Rhinolophus ferrumequinum: one gene and its partner. The protein of the gene in region 2 interacts with the protein of the main gene of each other region in a pairwise test. Links are inferred from orthologs where the notes say so. Each region holds a gene or a part of one and is shown on either strand. Other genes may lie near its edges.

Region 1 (7,538 bases), on a different chromosome or scaffold from region 2:
TCCACTGAGAAGGCACACAGAAAAACAACAGGAAAAAAACCACCCAATACATTAAAATAACAAGACAAGAGGAAGAGGCAGTAGAAGGGGAAAAAAAGAGACTGTATTTGTGACAAGGGGGAAGGGAGAGACAAAGGGGAGATAGAAGAGACGGACAGAAAAGAAAAAGGATGACAAACAACAAAATCTGTTCTTCCGGAAATAATGGTTTATGTTTATAAAAGTGAAGTTTCCAGAAAATGAATCTTAGTGTTACACAACAGAAACTAATAAAGAAGCCAACAGGAAAAATAATTGAGAGAGCAGTGTCATAAATATTCCAAATTTCAACCAATTTCACATACGCATGTACTTTGACCCAAATCATCAATTTCATGTAAAAGGAGTTGGTAAAAGTAATCAAGCCATGTTGCAGTGCTAAATAAACTGTAATCATGAATCTTAGCTATCATGGAAATTCAAAGCTGGAAATTTCCTCCCCAACTATCCAGCTCAACTCCCTCATCACTCAGAGGAAGAAACTGAGGCCCTGTTTTGTAACGTGTCTAAAAATCACAAATGACTGCAGGACTCAGGAAAGCTAGGATTCTTTGTTCAATAATCTTCTGTATCTTCTACCTCTGGTTTTATAAGCTAATTATTAACCATCAACCATAAATTTAAAAAGTTTTGTCAAGACTAACAAAAACCTTTCTGATGGCCAGATCAGAGGTAAACACTATAACGTACCTAGCACTGTTCACACAAATTAAAACACAAAATTAAATAAATAATAGCCTTCACAGGGTATAAACAAAATGTCGTAACAAGAAAAACCAAAGGTCCAATATTTTGAAATTTTCAGCCATTTAGACTAAGGAGCATATTTAAAATTGAAAGTTCTCTCCATCTATGGTATGGATAAGAAGAAATATTCAACAAGGCCTATTTTTGTGCGTGATTCCTTGCAGCCAAATCATTTGGTAAATTTCTGTCGCCATTCTCCTTTCTGATTAAACAGTAACTTATTTATCAAGGCTGTTCTCAAATTTCAGTCCGGTATACTTTAAGAATTTAACCACAACGATTGTTTATACCCTCTATATCCATGTCACTAGGATCTGATTAAGACCCTCCCTTTGTAGCCAATCAAAATGAGGCTGCTTTGAATGTAAAAGCTCCTGATTCAGGTTTGGGGCCTAAAAAACTGGATTTGTTTCCAGACTGACCGATACGTTGGATTGTTCCTTCCCCTCCCCCACTCACAAGTAAACTTGACTCATGCAATTAATTTGGGCTACGTTTCAAAAATTCCCATAGCAATTTACAATTTTATATACAGCTGATCTGCTTAAAGCTTTGTTTTAACATAGCAGAGCTAGATGAGGGAGGAGGGAGACAAGCAGAAGACTAAGGCTTTTTTTTAACTGCAGGTGTAAAACACAAGCCAATTTTTAAAAACAATACGAAATAACGTTTTTTAGAAGATCCTTGTTTTCAACCACATTTCATATAATGCCAACACGTAAATATATAGAGCATTTCCAATCAGCAGTGGTAGGTTTCTGCTCCCCGAAGAAAACGCGGACTCCTGAGGTTTCACCTCTCTTACCCTCCCAGTTGCTTTTAATAAGAGCTACTGATGGCAAACTTGGGCCCCTTGTCCTTTTGTACCCCCTAGACGATCTCTAGCCTAATTCTGGACGAAATCTCCACTGATTACTCCTCTCCCTATATATCCCTGCTCTCCCTTAATTAGAAATTATACCTCAGAATCGTGTCCCCCCCCCCGCCCCCGCGCCCCACCACGTAAGAGGAGAACGCCTGACCCACCGCCACCTGGAGAACAATGTAACCCAACTCCGAGTCCATGGATTCCTCCATCCAAGCCCTAAGATTTATCTTCAAGGGAAATCAGAAAGCGAGTTGTGTCCTGTCATCCTGGATTCCCTCAAGGTGTCCTACCCCTGGCCTAGGATTACCCGCTCCATTATACCGAGGAGCAGTATACTCACCTTCCTTTTCCAAGCATCTGGCCCCTTTCCCTCGCACCTTTCACCGCGACCCCCATCCCACCCTCGGAGAAGCAGCACAGGCGGCGAGTCACCTCCGAGGGCACCGAGCCCCGGGAGGGAGGGGGTCGCGGGCGGGTCGAGAGTCGGCAGCGGCGGCAGGACACTTCGGGTCAGTGGCCCCACTCCCACCGCAGGACACACGCCCAGTACCTTTGTAGTGCACCCGCAGGTTGTTCTGAGAGAGACCGATGTAGCTGAACTTGTCCTTCGGGCTCCAGGACCGAGGCAGCGGCGTCTCCTGCTCGTCTACCGCCGGGTAGAGGCGCTTCAGCCGCCGCTGCAGCTCCTTCTCCTGCTCGTTCAGGGCCGAGTCCCCGTGCGGGAAGGGGGCCGCAGCACTGCTGCCCGCCGCCAGGGCCGGGGCGCCTGCGGCCGGGCCGGGGCCCGCGGCAAGACCCGGGGGCGCTGGAGGCGCGCTGGCGGGGGCGGCAACCGAGGAGGGTGGCGGGGGCGGCGGGGGCGGCGGCGGAGCCGCGGTGGCCGGGGGCGGCGGCGGTGGCGGCGGCGGGTGGAGGAGCAGGGCGGCCGCCGCGGCCCCCAAGCCTCCGCCGCCCCCCGAGCCGCCGCCGGGCGAGCCGACCGGAGAGGAGCCGGCACTGACGGCTGGCGGCGCCGGCAGGACGACTCCGGAGACTGGGGCCACGGCCGCCGGGGGCGGCGGCAGCTGCTGCTGTTGCTGCTGCGGCGTCGGTGGCGGCTGCCCGGACATCCCGGCCGCGACTCAGCCTGCGGCCACCTCTACCTCTTCTCTCCTTCCTCCTCTGCTTCCCGGGGGCGCTGTCGCTGCGGCCGCGGGCACCAAGCGCCCAGTCCGCCCGCCCCGGAAGCAGGCGGCGGGCCGCGCGCCGGGGGAGAGCGCGACGGTTGGGGGGCTCGGAGACTGGGAGTGGGCTGCGGGCCCGGGGAGGCCTCGAGAGAACGTTGGCCGGAGCGCGGGCGCGGGCCCTGGCCGAGGCGCCGAGGGCGGGGGAGAGGCGGGAGCGCGGGTGGAGAAAGCTCGGTGGCAGCCGCCGCGGCCGCTGCTCTCGCGGCTGTTTCCCGGCGGGCGGGCCGGACCGGCGCGAGACGCAGCGCGCGGGCGGCGCTGGGCGAGGAGGCGGGGACGGCGCGCGCGAGCAGCGCGAGGGGCGGGGCAGCGTGGGGTGGTGGGGGAAGGTGTCGGGCTCGCGGGGGTCCCGGGGGTGGCGTGGGAGGAGGCGCGCGGCCCGGACGGCGCAGTCTGGTCCCCGGCCCGCAGGCCGCTGGCGGACGAGACGCGCGGCTCCCGGTGCAGGGGTCCCTGCGGAGTCCCTGCCTCCTCCCCCGCCCGCCCGGGCCCTCCCCGGGAGAATCTCCTCCTACTTCACTTCTTTTTGTTGTCGTCGCCCCACCTCCCCACCGTAGGGTTCCCGCTGGAGTGGCGGTGCTGCTTCTCGCCCAGGCGAAAGTAATCGAGCCCCGCTGGGGCGGCCGCGAGCCCGGCTGCTGGAGCCCAAATCGAGTCCCCGAGGTGAGCAGTCTGGAGAGTGCCCACGGGTTCCCCAGGACAGGTTCCTTCTGGCCGCCTCCCTCTTTATGAACCTACTGCTCTTCGTATTTCACAGTATTTAACACGTTAACATTATCACAGTGGGGATGGAAACCATTTCTGAACGCAGAGTCTCCCACTTAAAATTGTGAGCATTGTATTAATTAATTTTATGAGGACTTAAAGTGAACTTGTAGTGGTAGATGGTGTTAAGAGGAATACTGAAACACTGGCATATCTTCAAAGACAGGAACATGATCTGTATGAAGACAAGGTAATAATGTGTAGTTAGGAAGGGCTTCTAGAGACGTCAAAACATTTTATAGACTCGTTAATTTTCGTAACAGGCTTCTTTGTTAGGTAGCAAAGAATTATGCCATTTTTAAAACAAGGAAATATTCACTGAGGTCAGCAGAGTCAAAAATAGGACTTCCTACTTTGCAATTCCCAATAAGTGCTTTGCTTGGTCGACTAATTTGCCACAATTTGCCAAGTGTTGCTCTCTGACCCATCCTAGCATTACTATTTTGTTTTCACCACTTCCCTTTGTTTGCATTCTCCTTTCCTTTGCTGGTAAAATTGAGCTTTACACGTGTGAACTACATGATATAAATTCTGGTATTTTGTTTGCTTCCAAAGAAATGAGGATGGTAATTGTTTGGCCAAATAAGAAAGAACTATTTGCTGAGTAGAGAATTATTTACTTTGTTTTGGTGAGAGTAGGTAAATGGTGATTTAACTGAAGGCCCTCGGATGTCTGACCAGAACTAATAGTCCTTTAGTCTAATTTCTCCCTCAGTTACCCAGACAGCTAGATGCCCTGTTGTTCTTTAATAAAAATACCCAACAATTCTAACCTATTGTTTTGTGACTTTTTCCAGTCACTGCACTTTAAATCACAAGATATCCTTGTATTGAACTTGTTCTAAAACTTTCATTTATATTTCAGTAACAATGAGTTAGGTGTAAGCCAGTCTCTATTTAAATGTTATTTAAAAGGCTGGCCAAGGTAGAAGAAATGGGTTCCAAATGGGTGTCAACAAACTTTCTTGAAATCATCATCAGGGTTTTAATTATGAAGGTGTACTTTTTTCTGTTAGCACACTTTGAAACTATTTAGAACTTTGCATGTCCTGGGAACGGTTGAGAGAATAAAAATGTCTGACATTACGTCGAAAGCCTTTTATAGGAGTGACTGGTTGTTCTCCAAACAAGCAATCTCAAGAAATTAATGATTTCAATTTGCGGGAGGGTGATGTGAAATAGGCACTAATACTGACGGTGGCAGAGAACACTGATAACGTCATTTTAGAAAGCTACCTATTTGATGATAGTTAGCAAAAGACATGAAGGTGTTCACGCCTTTTGACTAATTCCCACCAAAAAATCGAAACCAAGTAACAAAATCTAAACTGTGGAAGAAATTGAGGCCTACAAATGTTCAACAGGAAAGTACTGATAGACGAAATAAGGAAGCAAACTAAATGCTCAACATGGAGGGACTAATTGAAGAAAGCATCGAATGCCCCATTCAATGGAATTAGGACCGCAGGAACACATATAGCACATTTGTTCAAATTTGGTTTTTGTTTTTTTTAATGCACCCCCTTTGGGCAGAGGAATTGCCAAAAGAATGAGGCAAACCAATAGAAAGACGCTCCTCCCTCTTGACTTAGTGGATATTGGGCTCAATTTCAAACCCACTCTCTCCAGTTCTCTTTCACAGGAACAGGCTGAAGTAAATGTTACGTGGCCTCTTAAAAATGGTTGAAGACATGGGAAAGTGATTTAGATGTGCTAAATGGAACAAGGCTATGCAATTATACATTGCCAAAATTGTTACCAAGAAGACATGAAGGGAAATCCCAAAATATTTCTATAATGGACAATTGTAATACATAATTAAAAGTAAATTTTTATTATGAAATATTAAACTTGTACATAGAGATATAAGTAATCCATTAGCTTTTAACTTCACACTCTTTTTGCACCTGTGTTTTCAGTCTTGACCATGTATTGCTATCATGTTGATGTATATCTATCTGGAGGTTCTCATAGCCAACAATAGGAGACAATTCTGGCTTTCTTAAGCAGCAGAAACTTACTGGAAAGATCCTGGGTGGTTCTCAGAATTGACCAAAAGGCTGGACAACCAGCCCACATTCAAAGGGAGGGGATAATAAAAGGGCATGAATTCTAGAAGGCAGGGATCTTGCAGGCCATCTTTGAAATCTGCTTATCACAGGGTCGTTGCAACTTCCGGTGAACCCAGGAGGACTGCACTTGCCACATACACATCAAATATGACTCTAAGCCAGGGATTGGCAAACTTTTTCTGTAATGGCTAAGATACTAAATATTTTAGACTGTATTGGCCATATGGTGCCTGTCACAACTACTGAACTTTGCCATCGTGAATGAAAAGTAGCCACAGACAATCTATAAACCAATGGATGTGGCTGTGTTCCAATAAAACTTTATTACAAAAAAAAAAATGTAATAGGCTGGTTTTGACCTGCAAGCTGTACTTTGTGATCTCTGTTCTAGATCACTTTATCAATATTCCTTATAAACTATTCTCAACACTAAATGACAAGACCAAGACACTGGCAATGAAATCCCAGGACTTAATAAATTCCCTTTATTACCAACAATGCTGCTGCACCCTTGTCCTGGACAAGCTTAATGCCGTATGCGAATGGAGTCAAGATTTTTTGGCAGCTAATGTGTGGTAAATTGGAATGGGTGGCAAGTGGCTGAACAATGCTAAGAAACTACAGCAGGATGGAGTCTAAATTGGGAGCAGTGCTCTGTCAGCATTTAAGCCACTATTATGTATGGAACCCTGTGTTAAGTTCTGGGCATGGAGTAAGGAAAAGAGGAAAGAGGGATTACAAAGACGAACGAGGCAGTATTGAACCTGTTCCTGCAGTGAATAGAGTGGAGTTGGAGAGGCAAGATTGGTATACATGAATTAAAGCAGTAAGCTTCTCAAACCTGAATGTGGGGACTGGCCGAGGGGGACCCGAGATTCTGCATCTCTAACAGGCTTCCAGGTGATGCTTTTGCTTTTCGTCCATGGACCATCCTTTAAATAGCAAGGACTTCGAGAAACAGTTAATGCTCTTTAGAAACAAAGGCTTCAAAGAATCCGAGTCCAGGTAACAACATCTAATGAGGGAGAACTTCGCGTGCTGTCTCAGCCAGACTGGGAAGGTGGTGCTGCCTATAACCGCAAACCAAGAGATAGTATTTCTGGGGCTTAGAGTTCAGGGTGAAAGGATCTGCGGAATCCCATGGAATACACATATTCATGTGTGAATATAATCATTACAATTCAGTGTTCGTTAATAAAATATATGTGAAAACGAAAAGTTATTGAATTTAGAGGAAACTATTAATCTATTCTAGAAGAATTTAAACAAAAATGGCAAATTTGTCTTAAAGAATGTGAGCTATCAATTATTTCACAAGTTAATCTAACAATCTCTTGATTTTCCTCTTAATTTTTCCTTCTGCTTTCTCTAGTCCACTGTAACGCTTTCATTTGTCAAAACTCACATTTTTTTCTTACAGATTGATTTCTGTATCCCCTCTTTCTTGTTTCCTTATAGCGATATGAAAAGTCCATCCAAAATGGAGTAAAAGCAAGAAGCAGGTAGCAGAAACTCACTTCCTTTGCAATGTTTCCCTCCGTGTTGTCGAGTAGGCACGATGAGGTTCTTGATGGAGTCATGGAATGGGAAGGCTGCCCCAGAATTTCCCTGACTTCCGGTCATTGCTACCAACTGGCCTGTGAAATGGCCATGGATTCAGTGGATTCTGTAGGGTGCAGGCAGCCAAAGGAATGGTGTTTTAGTACATTCGGGCTGTTAGAACAAAGGGCCATGGACTGGGTGGCTTATAAAGAGCAATCATTTATTTCTCATGGATCTGGAGGCGTGGGAAGTCCATCATCAAGAAACCAGCAGATTCAG
Region 2 (6,953 bases):
AGGCAGGGGGAGCCCTGGGGGATTGGACGCTGCTACTGATTCATTAAAAAAAAAAGAAAAATACACCAAGGCTCCGTGTTCCCTTGATGGGTAGGCCCAGGGGCCAGTGTGACCCCCACGGCTGTGAGATTGCTGCACAGTCCACCCTCGGGGGCAGACAGCGGGCACCCACAGGCTATTTCTTGGCTTTGGCGGAGTTGCGGGGTGGGGTGATGGGCCGGCCGCCAGGGTTCAGGCCACTGAACTGCCCATATTTCCCCTTGTTCTTGTCGGCGGGCTTGAGGATCTAAGAGAGAGAACTGGTCAGGCTCACGGGGCTGAGCCATGGGCCACCAGCCCCTTCCTTCCCCACCCCTACCTGGAAGGAGCACATGAGCGTCTCGTCCACACTCATCATGGCGCCTGCATTGTCAAACTCGCCACAGTAGTTGGGAGCTGAGAAGAGTGTCACCAGCTGCCGCTTGGCAAAGAACTCATAGCCATCTTCTACGACCTGGATGAGGACGGGGCAGTTAGTTCAGCAGGTGCTGGCTGCCCAGGCCCCACTCCCACCCAGACCAGAGCTCCCAGCCCACCTGGTGTGCCCGGCAGATGAGGTCCAAGTCGTGCTTGTGCAGGAACTTGGCCACCACCTCAGCCCCGAAGGTAAAGGAGACACCACGGTCGTTCTCGCCCCAGCCCTGCACATCCTTGTCAGGGTCAGACCACAGCAGGTCACATAACAGCCCCTGGTCAGGCACATCTGTGGGCCGCATGATACGCCTAATCTGCTCCATAGACTGCAGATCCGGGGAGAGACCTGAGGGACACGGGGCAGGTCACTTCCTCAAACAAGCCTCAAAACAAGGGCCACCCTCCTCCAGAAAGTCTTGACCAATTAGCTTCTGCCTCCCCCCACTACCACCTGGCCCTCTCCTGGACTCCTGGAAGCCCAGGTCGGCAGAACTCACCGCCTTAGCCTGTTTAAGTCCCTGCCCTCTAGGAGCGCAGAGCTCCCTAGAGAAAGGAAACTTCTAAGTTCCACGCACAATGCTGAGGCCACAACAGCAGAGAGTACAGCCTAACACTGGCGAGGGGGGACATCCAAGCCCAGACCCCAGGGAAAGCTGTTCCAGGTGACTGGGAACACGTCCTCCAGCAAACAGCCTCATCCCGAGGTCCCCAGGGATGTGGCTGGGCTTTTCCCAGAGCCGTCCTCACCTCCATGGCAGCAAAAGATCTTCTCGTCCACAATGGCCGCGATGGGCAGGCAGTTGAAGCAGTCGGTGAAGGTTTTCCAGAGTTTAATGTTGTAGCGTCTCTTGCCTGCCCAGAGGAAGGAGATGGCTTGTGAGGCGGCCTGTCCATCCAACCCACAACAGGGTTGTGGGCCCCCCAAGGCCTCCCAGACACAGCTGGGAGAGGAGCGTGAAACGCAAGGGAAACCCACTGCCTACCAGCTTTCCAGGAGGAACCCCCGAGTTCCAATCCGGAACGTCAGGGTTGGCACCCACCTCCACCCTGTGAGCGGGGCCAGGCCAAGACCAGATCTGGTTAATCTCAGCTTCTGGCCAGCAGAGTCCAGGCCACATAGGCATCCTAAGTGCTTAAGTAACGGATGTGCGAGAGGGAATGTTACCAGACAGGACCCTGTATTACACTGTGGTCGGCCCTTCCTGAGGGCCAGGCCCCATGGCAGCAGAGCAGGAGGGCAGTCGGGCAGGGCCCTGCCTTCCCCACACTCACAGTCTAGCAGGTTATCTGTCAGATGCCGATACTCCTACCACCAAGTCAACGCAAGGGTCCCACCAAACAGTGGGGAGAGAACTTCAGGCCTCTGGCAGCCCCAGGCACGCAGCCCACTCACACTCATCATAGAAGCCGTAGATGCGGTTGATGCTGGCACACTCGTGGTTCCCACGGAGCAGGAAGAAGTTTTCGGGGTACTTGATCTTATAGGCCAGCAGCAGGCAGATGGTCTCCAGCGACTGCTTGCCCCGGTCCACGTAGTCCCCCAGGAAGAGGTAGTTGCTCTCTGGAGGGAAGCCACCATACTCAAACAGCCTTAGAAGATCATAGTACTGGCCATGGATGTCACCTGTGACCCAGGGAAGCAGGTCAGCACTAGGTGCGGGATCTAGACTTGAACCCAGGGCCAGGGTGGGCTCAAGAGAAGAGGGATCCAGGGGTTGGGCGGAGGGGGGGGCGAGGACACCTTCAGGAAGCAAAAGGGCCTGGGCAGGGGTCTCACCGCAGATTTTGAGGGGTGCCTCCAGCTCCAAAAGAATGGGCTGGCTCAGGAAAATCTCCCGGGATTTGAGGCACAGACCACGGATCTCATTCTCTGTCAACTGTACATTCTTGCCAGGCCGCGAACCCTGCACTGGAGGCGGAATGGAGCGTCAGGACCCTGGTTCCTCAGACAGGAGGGTGGGCGGCACAGGTGCCCCATGGGCACTTCTAGCGGCGCCTGGGCCTCCTGGGCCCCTCCTTGCCCCGGGAAGCTGTTGCTGCTTAGCCTGCCAGGACGGGACCCCAACTACCCTTAAGGTGCTCGAGGGGATTGCTGTGCGCAAGGGCCGAAACCCCCCAACGCAGGACCCCTTTCCGGGGGTGGGGGGGACAGGCTTCTTAGATTTTTCCCTCACCCCAAGAGCCCAGGCCAACTGGTGCGTCCCCGGTCCAGAGGAGGGGGCTGCTCCCCGTGCCCGAAGGGCCCCAGACGCCCCCAAGGTGCGCCGCCAGTGGGGGGGCGGCTGCGGCCGCGGAACCTCGCGGCCCGTCCCCGCCCAGTCTAAGCTAGCCCTGGGAGGGGCAGGCCCGCCCGCGCGCAACTTCCGGGCCGAGCCGGGCCGGGGGTTAGGGCGAGGCGGACGCTGACCTCCCACACCCCAGCCAACCTTCCAGTAGGCGCCCGATGATAGAGTCCAGATTGAGCTTCTCGCTGTCGGACATGGCGGCTCTGCCGCTCCGGCCCAGCAGCTCCGGGCCAGCTCCTGCCTCCCGCCCTCCGATGCCTCCTTCCGGCCTGTCGCTCCTTCCGCCCGCCCCGGCCCGCCTCCTCGGCCGCCCGCCCCGCCCCGGCCCGCCCCACCCCGCTGGCTTCCCTTGCCTGCTGCCCCAGCTCTCTAGCGCCTCCGCTGGACGCCATGCGGGAGGCGGGGGCTCGGTGACGGGGCGGTACTTTATGTGCCTGGGGCGGGGCCTGGTCGGTGGGCGTGGTTTTGTGGGGTGAGGTTGAGTCTGGTTCCGCCCCTGAGAATTACTCAGCCTCTTTCTGAGAATATAGGACCGGAAATACTGTGGAAGTTGTTTTTCTCTTTCACAGGCGGAACAGCCGAACTTCCCACCTGGCGTGAGCACGTTAATCATAGATTCCCCAAACACTGTGGATTAAGTCCTCAAAGGACAGAAAAGGAAACTGAGGCTCAGAGATAACAAGGGGCTGGTCCAATACCTGGCCTCACATTCACAGAGGACCTCTACCTCCTGCGTCTTTGTGGCCCCCGAGGTGGCTGACCAAACCCAGGCAGCTTCCATAGAACTCCGAGCCCATTTTAGTTCATACTGCCTGTGGTGCAATCTAAATTAATTTTTTAAAATCCCATCCTTGCCTGCCTTTGAGTAGCACAAACTGCATTGTGAGCATGTTAAAAGTATTACTTTCTAAAGAGCAAACATTAAATAAACCATAATTCTCATTGAAACCCTGAATTGAGTGTTTTATATGCCAGTATCCTCCACAGGAGGCAGCCTGGCCTCTACCTCCAGCAGTCCCTGGTCCCATCAAGCCCGGCACAAGAACCCAGGGTACAGGGTTGGGTTGGTGGGAGGAGCCCATAGCCCAGGGGCACTGGGGCAGGCCGGAAAAGCCTCAGAGAGGAAGGGGTAACCCCCCCACACACACTGGGGAGGGGCCCCCCAGTGGGTAGCTGAAGCTGTGTCTGAGGAGGAAGTGAGAGGAGGAGGTGAGGTGCTTCTGGGAGGTAAGCTGGGGTGCTGGGCCAGGGGCTGGGTCTCTGAACAGAGGCCTGGCCTTTCTGCCACTTCAGGGTCTAACCCCCTCCCACCAATAGAAGTGGGGACACAAGGGGCTTGTTGAGATACCCTGAAACCTCCTCCCTTCAACCCCACAGCCAGGACCTGAGGCTGAGGACCGGTTGGATGGGAGGCCAGGCCAGGAGCTGCCTCTCTCACTGGTTCTCCCATCTTGCAGCCTCTTTGTTGCATCAGGGGTCTGGGGCACCATGGCCCAGGCCCTGGGTGAGGACCTGGTGCAGGCTTGTGAGCTGCAGGATGATTCCAGTTCTTTGGGGTCTGACTCAGAGCTGAGTGGGCCCGGCCCATATCGCCGGGCCGACCGGTATGGCTTCATTGGAGGCAGCGCAGCAGAGCCAGGGTAAGTGGGGAAGGAATGGGGGTGGGGGAGGTCCTGGATTGAAGATAGGGGCTGAGAGCTGAATTCTAGAATGAGGCCCAACCTCAAGGGTCCTGGGCGGGTCTGGGGACTTAGCAAGTGTCACCCCTCCTAAGGCTGGCAGGACTGGGCCGGGGTGTCCTTGTCTCTTTACCCCCAAACCCCAAGGGTTTGGACCCACCTTGGGAACTGAACATCCTTTCCCTTTTAACCTCTGGCCCAGGAATCCCAAATCCAAATCACAGAACCCACACTTCTTTCTCCACCCTCCCCCTTTCCCAATATACAGACAGGATAAAAAGTCCAGAGACACGAAGGAACTTGCCTGAGGTCACACAGCAGATCAGAGACTGAACCAGTCTCAAACTCAGTACTCCTGGCTTCTAGTACAGGGCTCAGTCCACACAGCTTCCCCTGTGAGTTGTCTGTGTCCCTATCCTGGGGGACAGCCAACCAGCCCCTCCCCCAATGCACACCTACACACCCCTTTCAGTCTTTCCTGCTTCCACCCACATTGGAGCCACATCCTTTCCTGTCCCCATGACAACCACTGGCAACTCTTGGGTGACAGGTCACCCCCCAGGGGCTCACTTAGGTTGCATGAGGGTGGCAGATGTGGGCTGTAGGTAACAGCTGCCTGGCGCCTGGATGTCTATGCCATGTGCTCCCAGGCCTGGTCACCCTTCTGCAGACCTTATCCGTCAACGTGAGATGAAGTGGGTGGAGATGACTTCACACTGGGAGAAAACCATGTCTCGGCGGTACAAGAAGGTGAGGGGAGAATGGCCCCACCCAGGCCGTCTTGGCTTATTCTCCTTTGCCTCAGCCCAGGCCCTGGCAAAATTTAGTCCCCTCCTGTGTCCTGTCTTTTCTCCCTACCACCCAAAGTGGCCCTTGCCTGATGCTAAGTTGTGTTTGGGGCCTGCCAGCAGGAGCAGGGGAGGCTGGCCCTGCTGGCCTAATGGGGTCCCTTGGCCTCCGCACAGGTAAAGATGCAGTGCCGGAAAGGCATCCCCTCAGCCCTGCGTGCCCGGTGCTGGCCTCTGCTGTGTGGGGCCCATGTGTGTCAAAAGAACAGCCCTGGTATCTATCAGGTATAAGAGTTGGCAGGGGTTCCCCCCTTTCCAGAGCCCCTCGCCACTTTGAGCCCTCCCACCTACCTTCCTGCCTACCCACAGGAACTGGCTGAGACTCCGGGAGATCCACAGTGGATGGAGACCATCGGCAGGGACCTGCACCGCCAGTTCCCTCTGCACGAGATGTTTGTGTCTCCCCAAGGTCACGGGTACGAGGCCAGTGATGCCCAGGGACCCCCAGCCTCACAACCCCAGGCATTTTGGCCCAGCCCCTCCCCACCCCAGCTTTATGTCTTTGCATCTCAGGGGAGCCAGCAAGGCTGGGGGTGGTGAGGCTTGGGCAAAGGCTGCAGAGAGGGGAAAGGGATGCCAGGAGGACTGATCCCTAATGGGGTCTTCTGGCACAGGCAGCAGGGGCTCCTGCAGGTACTCAAGGCCTACACCCTGTATCGGCCTGAACAGGGCTACTGCCAGGCACAGGGTCCTGTGGCTGCCGTGCTACTCATGCATCTGCCCCCAGAGGTGAGTGCCCTTAACCCTGTGCTAGGGGCCCGAAACCCTGACCCCCAACCCCAGTGACCCGTGACTCCCAACCCCAGGGACTCTGATGTCAGGAACCTGGGATCCTTGACCCCAGATCCTGTCCTAGTGACCCAGGGCTTCATGACTGCCAGCCTCAGTGACCTTAAAGCCCAATGACCTGGACTGCAGGAACCTGGGACCTTTGCCCCTTGCCCCTTGCCCCAGTGAATAGGAGTCTGCATGTTATCACCTTGACCTCCTGACTCCTGATTCTGAACCCTGTCACCATGATCCCTAAACCAATGACCCCAAGAACCCAGGACTTGAGCTTTGGGATCCTCCCAACCTTTGACCAGTGAGCCTCGATTCTGTGACCCTCAAATTCAACACCCTGAGCCCTGTGACCCATGAGCAGGGGAGGCTTTTGGTAAGAGCGCCCCCAGGTCTGAGTCCCGGCACCTAGATCCACAGTCACTGCAGATGGTATCCAGGCCCTCCCCTGCACCCTTTCCCCCTGCCCTGCGGTTCCCCTTGTGGCCCCTCCATGGTGGGCACTCATGGCCTGTGCTCCACCTCCAGGAGGCCTTCTGGTGCCTGGTGCAGATCTGTGAGCTTTACCTGCCAGGCTACTACGGGCCCCACATGGTAAGAGTCTGGGATGAGGCCAGAGGGCACAGGGGGAGGGGCTGGGTGGATGGGTGGGTGGAGGCCTGGGGACTGAGCGGGGCAGAGCCTGCTGGGCTTTGGGAGTGGAGGTGCTGACGGACATGGCCGCAGGAGGCTGTGCAGCTGGATGCTGAGGTGTTCATGGCCCTGCTGCGGCGGCTGCTCCCGCGTGTGCACAAACACCTGCAGCAGGTGGGCGTCGGGCCCCTGCTCTACCTGCCCGAGTGGTTCCTGTGCCTCTTCGCCCGCTCCCTGCCCTTCCCCACAGTGCTGCGCGTCTGGGACGCCTTTCT

Evidence for each region. The genes of interacting proteins can lie anywhere in the genome.
Region 1: the proteins of PPP1CA (region 2) and RANBP9 interact in a two-hybrid assay, tested with the Homo sapiens proteins (2 studies listed by BioGRID and IntAct). The link is inferred for Rhinolophus ferrumequinum from reciprocal best matches to the Homo sapiens genes PPP1CA and RANBP9.

The regions. Positions count from the first base shown.
Region 1 is NC_046292.1:80,648,966-80,656,503, reverse strand, and holds the start of RANBP9 (ran-binding protein 9), read right to left. Parts: upstream 3,092-7,538; 5' UTR 2,764-3,091; coding exon 2,205-2,763; intron 1-2,204. UniProt on the Homo sapiens protein: May act as scaffolding protein, and as adapter protein to couple membrane receptors to intracellular signaling pathways. Acts as a mediator of cell spreading and actin cytoskeleton rearrangement.
Region 2 is NC_046294.1:4,830,755-4,837,707, reverse strand, and holds the start of PPP1CA (serine/threonine-protein phosphatase PP1-alpha catalytic subunit), read right to left. Parts: upstream 3,025-6,953; 5' UTR 2,935-3,024; coding exon 2,880-2,934; intron 2,363-2,879; coding exon 2,231-2,362; intron 2,078-2,230; coding exon 1,847-2,077; intron 1,306-1,846; coding exon 1,201-1,305; intron 800-1,200; coding exon 576-799; intron 494-575; coding exon 359-493; intron 287-358; coding exon 176-286; 3' UTR 1-175. Other genes in the region: TBC1D10C (carabin), read left to right, coding at 4,227-4,378, 5,068-5,167, 5,383-5,490, 5,575-5,681, 5,880-5,994, 6,574-6,639, 6,772-6,953. UniProt on the Homo sapiens protein: Protein phosphatase that associates with over 200 regulatory proteins to form highly specific holoenzymes which dephosphorylate hundreds of biological targets.